Linked DNA regions of Oryzias latipes. The protein of the gene in region 1 purifies or fractionates together with the protein of each later gene. This does not show direct contact. Links are inferred from orthologs where the notes say so. Each region holds a gene or a part of one and is shown on either strand. Other genes may lie near its edges. The genes, in order: rsl1d1 and larp7.

Evidence for each region.
Region 2: the proteins of rsl1d1 (region 1) and larp7 purify together in Homo sapiens (affinity purification with mass spectrometry; 3 studies listed by BioGRID and IntAct, with this or other methods). This does not show direct contact. The link is inferred for Oryzias latipes from reciprocal best matches to the Homo sapiens genes RSL1D1 and LARP7.

The regions. Positions count from the first base shown.
Region 1 is NC_019877.2:2,439,333-2,443,743, forward strand, and holds the start of rsl1d1 (ribosomal L1 domain-containing protein 1), read left to right. Parts: upstream 1-1,496; 5' UTR 1,497-1,565; coding exon 1,566-1,598; intron 1,599-1,823; coding exon 1,824-1,963; intron 1,964-2,030; coding exon 2,031-2,169; intron 2,170-2,252; coding exon 2,253-2,401; intron 2,402-3,059; coding exon 3,060-3,161; intron 3,162-3,386; coding exon 3,387-3,480; intron 3,481-4,411. Other genes in the region: gspt1 (eukaryotic peptide chain release factor GTP-binding subunit ERF3A), read left to right, coding at 48-137, 254-422, 516-568. UniProt on the Homo sapiens protein: Regulates cellular senescence through inhibition of PTEN translation. Acts as a pro-apoptotic regulator in response to DNA damage.
Region 2 is NC_019876.2:11,528,656-11,532,941, reverse strand, and holds the start of larp7 (la-related protein 7), read left to right. Parts: upstream 1-1,239; 5' UTR 1,240-1,366; intron 1,367-1,765; 5' UTR 1,766-1,766; coding exon 1,767-1,974; intron 1,975-2,053; coding exon 2,054-2,154; intron 2,155-3,235; coding exon 3,236-3,319; intron 3,320-3,413; coding exon 3,414-3,578; intron 3,579-3,659; coding exon 3,660-3,744; intron 3,745-4,286. UniProt on the Homo sapiens protein: RNA-binding protein that specifically binds distinct small nuclear RNA (snRNAs) and regulates their processing and function.

The DNA.
Region 1 (4,411 bases):
TGCTTTTTATTTGAGCAAACGTCTGGATTGAACTCCTGTCCTTTCAGATTGTCATCATCGAGCACAAGTCCATCATTTGTCCCGGGTACAACGCGGTCCTTCACATCCACACCTGCATCGAAGAAGTTCAGATCACAGTGAGTGACGCTCTCTCTGAAGTCGTCATGGCAACTGCATCCTTCCACCTGGATGGGTGCGTGGCCTCCTCCCATGAGACGGTTGTTGAGCAGAGGCTGTTTAATTTTGTCCGCAGGCCTTAATCTGTCTGGTTGACAAAAAGACGGGAGACAAGAGCAAAACGCGACCTCGCTTCGTCAAGCAGGACCAGGTGTGCATCGCCAGGCTGCGGGCGGCGGGAGTCATCTGCTTAGAGACTTTCAAAGACTTCCCTCAGATGGGGAGATTCACGCTGCGAGACGAAGGTGGGAGGGGGTCTTCGAACCCTCAAACTCCTGTTTTTTTTTCTTTTTTTTTTGCCGCTTCCGCTCATCCTGCTTTTCTGCTTCCACCACCAGGCAAGACCATCGCCATCGGCAAAGTGCTGAAGCTGGTGCCGGAAAAGGACTAAAAGCAGGCGCGGCAGCATGCATGGAGTTCTTCCACTCGTTTATCAGAGGAGAAACGCTGCCAGAGCCGACCCAATCAGCTGCTCTCTCTTTACACACGACTCTGCCGAAGAGGAGAACAACAGGAAGGAGCCGAGACGGGGGACAACGTCACATCCACCGAAAAACATCGAGACTGAATCAGTTTTTATGATGAACAATGTGAAACGAGAGACCAAGCCCAGAGTGTCAGCTTTCTCATATTGAGAGCTCAGCGATGCCACTAATGTAGCTCCACGCGCCCCCTCTGTACCCCAGGCTCTGCTGTGCTGTTGGCTGGCGATGCTCTGTGTTTGTTTGTTTTTTTAGGACGGAGACGCAGCGCTAAAGGAGACGCAAATTCTAACCATTCAAAGTTCACCTCCCTTTGTGACAGAGGAGTCGGGGCTCCGAGCGATTCGGTTTTTAAGGTTTGCTGTATCGGGATTTTTAGTTTTGACTTTGGTCTCTCCTCCACCTGAGAAAGGCATCATTGGACTGACCATACATTCAGTGTGACTCTGATGATCCAAGGAGAAACTCACACAGGCAGACACATCGCTGTTACATAATCCAAACGGAAAATAAAAGATCATGACCCAAGCTTGTTTGTTGTTTGTTTGTTTTATTCATTACCTCCCATTATTTACCATATAATGTACTGTATCTTTTACATATTCGGAAATATTCTGCACAATAAAATTAAAACTTACTGTTTCCTAAAACATATACATTTTTTAAATAAATGTTTTAAAAACTTTTTTAATAATGTTGAAATAAATTATAAACGTTTGTAATTCATGTATATATAAGAAACCAATTTTCAATAGTATATCTATTTGAAACAATTTACCTCCAAATAGTCATTTTTGTCACTTTTCTACTTTTCACTTATAAATAAAGTTTCATGGCTCTTCCTGTGACGTAAACCTTTTTCCGGCACTGTGCGCCTGCGCAGCGGAAGCACGTGTAGCCGACAGCATGGCGGATGAAGTTGTGTTGGACCGATCGCAGGTAAAAACTTTTATTTTCATGCCGATTTGTATTCACGCTATATCGAAGGAAAAATAAAACGTTTTACTTAAAAACGAACTCGGTTTTGATCAACACGTAAACGTTTTATGTCACTGACTGGCTAGCTACTTTAGCTAGCTAAATTAGCATCGATACAGGAACGTATTTGGGGTTAGATTTAAGGGTATTTTTGTTGTGTTTAATGGAAGTTTATGTTCCTTGTAGGTGAAAAAAGCCGTTCAGGCCCTGCAGGCCTTTCTAAAAACTCAACCCAGCACAAATTCCCTGCTGTTGGACGAAGCTCAAAAGATCAGCGTGCAGTTCACCCTTTGGAAAATTCCCAAACGCGCTCAAACGATCCGCATGTGAGTCTGGACGAGAAGGGGCTGTCCTTCTCCTCTGTGTGTGGTTCTCATACGAGTGTTTCCGCAGACCGTTGCCTCACGGCCAGCGGACCGACACGGACGAGGTTTGCCTTTTCACCAGAGATGAACCCAACATGACGTCAGAGCAGACCCAGAGGTTCTACAAGAAGCTGCTGGAGGAGAGAGGAGTCAAAGGCATATCAGAGGTGCTGAACTAAATCTCATCCAACCATTTATCCCGATCCTGATGCTGACCATTCCTGTTTGGGTTCACCTCCTCCTATTCCAGATTATTCCCTACAAGATGCTGAAAGCGGAATATAAACCGTATGAGGCCAAGCGGCGCCTCCTGGGGAACTTTGACGTGTTCCTCTCGGATGACCGGATCCGCCGCCTGCTGCCATCCCAGCTCGGGAAAGAGTTTTATAAGAGAAAGAGGTGAGAACGGGAGTTTGGCCTCCGACACATGAATGTACAAACAGAATCCTTTGATTTTTGTTGAATGGAACAGCGGCTCTAAAAATAACATCTTAAAATTGTAGTTTACTTTATTTGAAAAAGAAATCCACGTTGAGCTGTTTTATCATAAAGTCTTTAAACATTGTGGATTAAAAAATCATCTCGCGGATCTATTATTTATGATTTAGCCGAAATCCAAAAACCTATGTCGTTTTCCAGGACATAGTTTCTGCAGAGCGGCAGGAGTTTATCAGAAATTCCCCTTAGACTTCGTCTATAAACGTTGGGATTAGAACAGGGGGCCGGGGGCCATAAACTGTTTAATCTGACCCCCCCAAACTGGACTAAATCATTGATAACCCCTAATAATGTTTTATTTTCCCTGTAATTTGACACAGTTTTGAAATAAAAACGCCAAAATGTTCTGTTTTCATTTATATCAGTTAATATCTAACAGTTTTCAATCAAAATCAAAGCTCGTCTTCATCCAGATTCTATGTTATCTCTTTCTCTTATGAGGTGGATTACCAAAACACACCACATAAAATGTTGCCCCCCCAGGATTAGAAGCTTGTTTTGGGTGTACTTCTGGGTTCCTCTGCTCGCGTTTTGACCGTTTTCCCCCCGTCTCCTCCAGAGAGCCGCTCTGCGTGGACCTCCAGAGCAAACATCTGGCCAGAGACGTGCAGAGAGTCGTCCAGGGAACCCGGCTGAGCGTGACCAACAAAGGCTGCTGCTGGTGAGCCGCTCCGCTTCTCTGTCCTCGAAACCCGAAGAGGACCAGACGGGTTCTGGCTGCACCTCGGTACAACCCGGTCGACCCGGTTGGAGGCTGCGGAAACTCGCCCTAAATCCAGTCGGGCCACCTCTTCCCGTGGAGACCGTCGCTATAACTCTGAAACAGCGATGAGGGGGATCGACCCCCTCAGCTCTGAACCCTCGCCTGTGGTTGATTGTGTTGCAGTTTAGCGCACGTGGGGCATTCCAGCATGAGCGCGGAGGAGGTGACGGAGAACGTCCAGGCCGTCTTCCAAACGGTCCTGTCCAAGATCCGGATGGTGAGTCCAAAGAAGCGGACTTTCTGCTCGTCTGTTTGAGTTCATCGGCGCAGAAGCCTTCGTCCGTTCTAACAAAAACAAAACCACACTCACCCTGAAATGCTTTGTCCCGTCAATGGCTCACCCATGAGGCTGCTGGGAAATGAAACGCTTCGAACTCAATAAAATCTAAAGTAAAAAAAGAAGTCCTCCGAGAGTCCTGGGCCGATGACATCACGGCGAGAGAAAGCGACAAATAATGAAGGACGCCAAAATATCTTAAAGGAAAAATTCTAAATCCAAAAGAGGTTTTTCAAAATGAAAGAATTTTCAAATACACGCCACCAACCTAAGTCTACAACCAAAAACCAAACTTTTTATTGACCTTTGACCTCAGGAGGAAGAACGCCGTTGGTGTGGCGAGCTCTCGGATATGGCACTCTCTGTTGCACATTCACCGGAATATTGTAAAAAAAAAAAAATTGAGAACATGGATTGTTGGATCTAAGAAATGTCAGAAATGTGGGCTTGGTTCGCCGAAAACTACGGTTCCCAAGGAAATACGAAAGTTTAACTTTTACAGATTCTTCTGAAAATGACTTCGACCTGTTCGTTACCTTGGGTTGAGCGAAAATTCAAATGGTTGCTATGGAGATAAAACCAACAGAAAGGTGCCATTTGTCATGTGCAGCTTTAACCAGTGCAGCTCGGCCAGTGGGTGAGGGTGGGTAGCGTCTGCAGGCCGTACAACGCCAATCTTTTTCTTGGGAGTTTGTGTCTTTGATCGTCTATCGGTTATGAAATGTTTTTGGTTTTTATTTTATTTATTTATTTTTTTACAATATAATGAAGATAATTTATAGGGCCTCGCGATTGAGTGATCAATACAATCAATGGGGATGACGATATAGTTTGACATACATGATCCCATAGAAAAACAACCAAAGACGTC
Region 2 (4,286 bases), on another chromosome or scaffold:
GCAGCAGCTAAAAATGAAGTATAAAAACATAATTCAATCAGGTCAAATTTGAGCATGTCATGGAGGTAGGCTTTGTTGACAATATTTGACATATGAAACATCTACATAGCAATACATATCTAATGTTGTTTTCATTGTATATATGTAATTGACTGCAACGAAAAACGGTAACGCTCAAACAAAAACGTATGGGGAAATGCCAAAAAATCGAGTCTAGGTCTCAAAATCCTCGCACGACGTAAATGTAATTCTCTACGAATTAATGCAGCCTCCTCGTCTATTGGGTCCTCCAAAAAAGGACAAGCCATTCTTGTCACTTGTCTCTGTGTGACTGAAATTTGGGCAATGAAGGTTAAAGCGAAAAATACCGCTTCGTCTTTAAAAAGGGGAGGGGACCGGCAGAAACCTTGAGTTTAAAGAATAAAACCTGCTCCCGACCAGGTTAGGTTCACAGCGTAAGTAACTATGGACGCTGACTCCGAGTATAAGTTACCTATCTTTCAGAAACGGGTTTGACTTACTCTGCTTTCTCCGGTTTAACAAACCTCCCATTTTGAAACGGAAAACCCAGGGTTTCCCTGATTTCAGGGTTAACGCACTCAGAGTTTACACTTAACCTCATTTCTGAAACAGGGCCCAGGAAAACATCACGTCATAAAAAATATAAACCATATAACCTCAGACATTAATACAAAACATGTTGGCCCGTACGGGGATCGAACCCGCGACCTTGGCGTTATTAGCACCACGCTCTAACCAACTGAGCTAACCGGCCGTGCGCGTTATTTAAACACAGAGAATAAAATTGTTACGAGGACGACATCTCGGCATATCCATGTTACTATTTACTATTATTATTATTGTTTTTTTTAACCGTCTTAATAGGTAGATTGACCATGTCACTTATCAAAACTAGTTACTTATGTCACATAAAGACATGGGTAGTTTAGTTTACACAAAAAAGAGGACAAAAAAACAACAGAAATAAATAAATGTGTACTTCTTGGATTGGAAACTATCTTTTTACCTGTATTTCGTTTACATTTGAAATGAATGTTTTCTATTGCTACTTTGCGTAAATTTAAATAAATATATTTTTAAAAATGTTGCTGAGTTTTTCTTTTTTCCTTAAAAGTATGAAGTTATTTTTTTTTCTTCACATTAATCGGTGCTGAATTTTCTTGTACGTCTCAATATAATAGAACTTACCGGAAGTTGAATAAACGTCCTGGCGGACAGTTGTGACGACATCATTGTGCGACGTCTCCATTCGAAATATTCTGTGATGTTTGTCCGTTAGCCGCAGTGTTTTTGTATTTTTTGTTATGTTAGTATTAAATTGATGTTTATAATATCTTTTACTCAGGTAAGTTTGCAAAAATAACTACATTTTTAAAAGTAATTTATTGACAGTTAAGCGGAACTTTGCTCGCTTTTATAACTATTTTCAACAACAATACTACTGAATACATGTTTTAAAAAGTCGGACGTACAGCCGTGATTTGGCTTAAGAGCTGTTTTTGCTGAAATTCTATTGTTTTCGCTTTTCAATTTTTTTTTTTTTTTGCTTTACATATGAATGAGATTTGTTTATTGTGTTATGGTTACAAAAATGTCTTGTGTGTAAACCCCAAGACTCAAATGCAGCAAATAAACAATAAACCATAGTAAGATAATTCCTATTATGTGGTTTAGTTTTATTTTTGGAGATTTTTTAAAATCAGGATTTTGGTTTTGTATGAGTGTGTGGGATTCTGTTTTTTAGGATGACTAACACAGACAAGGAGGCAAGTGGAGGCGGTGCTGCCGCTGCACCCAGCGACAAGCTGAAACTTGAGACAGAGAAGAAGAAGAGGTACCGGGTCAAACAGCTGCTGGGAGACGTGAAGAAGCAGGTGGAGTTCTGGTTTGGAGATGCAAACCTCCACAAGGACCGTTTCCTGAAAAAGATTATAGAGGAGTCTGATGATGGATGTAAGGAGCCGTCAAGATGAGGATAGTGTGATTTTTCCAGGGGTTAGGATCTCTAACCTCCGTGTGAATCCCCTTTCAGATGTTGACATATCTGTGTTGACGGGCTTCAATCGAATGAAGAAGCTGACAACGGATCCAAAGCTCATTGCCAGGGCGCTGAAAAATTCCACTCTAGTTGAGGTAAATGTTGTTACTTGGATGCAGGGCTGTGTTTTGTTGACTAATCCAAAGTCACAGAAGACGTAGTAGGTTAAAATCACAAACTCCATGGAAACCAAAACCTCCCAAAAATACAAAACTGGAACAAAAACCAAGCAGCAGACATCAGCATCCAAATGCAGTAAAAATAAAATTCAGAGAAAAAAAGGAATACAATTTAATAATAAAAACAGCGATTAAAAAAAATAATGAAAAGCAAAAAAGGCAAATAAACAGATACATCATCTGAGTTTAATAGCTTTATTACTTTTTAAAGGGAATTAAAGATTAGATTTAAGTATTTTTTATAAAGCAAAAAATTGGGGTGAAGTTAAAAAAACAACCATTAATGAAAAATAAAATTCCTAAAATGATCTAATAATTAACTTAGAATTAAATATGTTTGTCTTTGTATAAAGATCCAAATGGAATAGTATTAGGCAAAAATGAAGTATTTCTTTTTTGTTGTGTTTTTTGAAAGCTAATCATTTAAATCCTGCCAAAAATATTAACCAAATTACAATAATAAAAAAAGATGTTTTAGTATCAGTTTTACACAAAGTTATATTGAATAAATCTAATTCTTCCTTTTTTTTATATCTTTATTGTCATTGTTTTTTCAAAGCTTTAAACAACATCACAACAAAACATTTCAATTCTGGCGTTAAAAGTAATATGTATATATAAAAAATATACACAAAGGAGAAAAAACCTCTATAAGGATTCCACTAAAGTTTGAAGGTTTTTTCTTTTTTTTTAACAATAAATGTAACTCTCTCAAAAGCTAAACGTCGAGGGTGTGTCCATACTCTTCCAATAAATCAAATTCTTAAATATGATTTTGTATAGATATATAAGGAATTGTTTTTAAATGAACTGCTTTTATTTTAAGCATGTAGCAACCGCCCAGTAAGGGCTGTCAAAAGGGAACAGCGAGGGTGGGTGTGATTGGCGCCTGTAGGCCGTTTAACCCCACTCCCAGCCTTATTAGCAGTTCGTTCTAGCTTTGATTTCACTTCGGCCCCTTGAATGAGTTGGGTTTCGTTTTTCTTTTGCGTGTTAGGTTAACCTGGAGGGAAACAAAGTAAGACGTCAACAGCCGCTTGGTGACCCACCCATCAACAGCGACAGCTGCACTGTCTACGTGGTAAAACGACGTCTTCTGTTGTCGCCTTCGCTTGGCTTAAAAACATAATTCAAGCCTTACACATATTTACTGATTTTCTTTCAAATTTTCCAAGGAACTTCTGCCCAAGGATGTTTCCCACAGCTGGATAGAAAGGGTGTTCTCCAAATGCGGGAATGTGACGTATGTGAGCATTCCCAGATACAGGACAACGGGCGACTCCAAGGGTTTTGCCTTTGTTGAATTTGAGAATGAAGAACAAGCGCAGAAAGCAATAGAGGTGAGCTATCCGTGTCACTTTTCCTCTTAAGGAAAGCATTTTTTTTTTCCATCTTAACGTATATTTTATCTCTGAAAACAGATGCTGAACAACCCTCCTGAAGATGCACCCAGGAAGCCTGGGATTTTCCCCAAGACTTTAAATAGGAAGCCGATTCCTGTTACAGGTGAGAGAGTGCTGGTTCAGTGCTATGTCACACATCACTGTATGTTGGCCTGAGCAGCTCATTCAGACTCTGTATATAACAATAAGAAGGTGTTTGTTGGTTCAGCTTGACTGCTTCATTCCAATACCATTGCTTTTTCTCTGTCTGCTCTCCGTTTTCTAACTCATTTATTTAAATCTGTGTCTGCAAACATTGTTTTATGTTTAAGTATCGAATGCAACTGTATGAAAGCTGACACGAAGCTCCTAAACATTCGAGGGCCTTCTTTGTTTTTAAAAGCATTTGTGCTAGACATCTCTTTTTAACAGGTTAAGCCTCAGTTTGGTTTTCCAGGCGTCCCCACTCTTACATTTAAAGTAGGGACCTGGTTGTTTAGCAGGTCGGCTAACATTGATTTATCAGTTCACAATAACTGCAATAACCGTTGCAATAACCGTTTGGGGTCCTTTCGACTGAGGATAACGGCACACTACGGGTGCCCTACCTGGACAAATTACGTAGCGTGGAGATCTGCTTGGGCTCTACATATTTTCATGTCACGT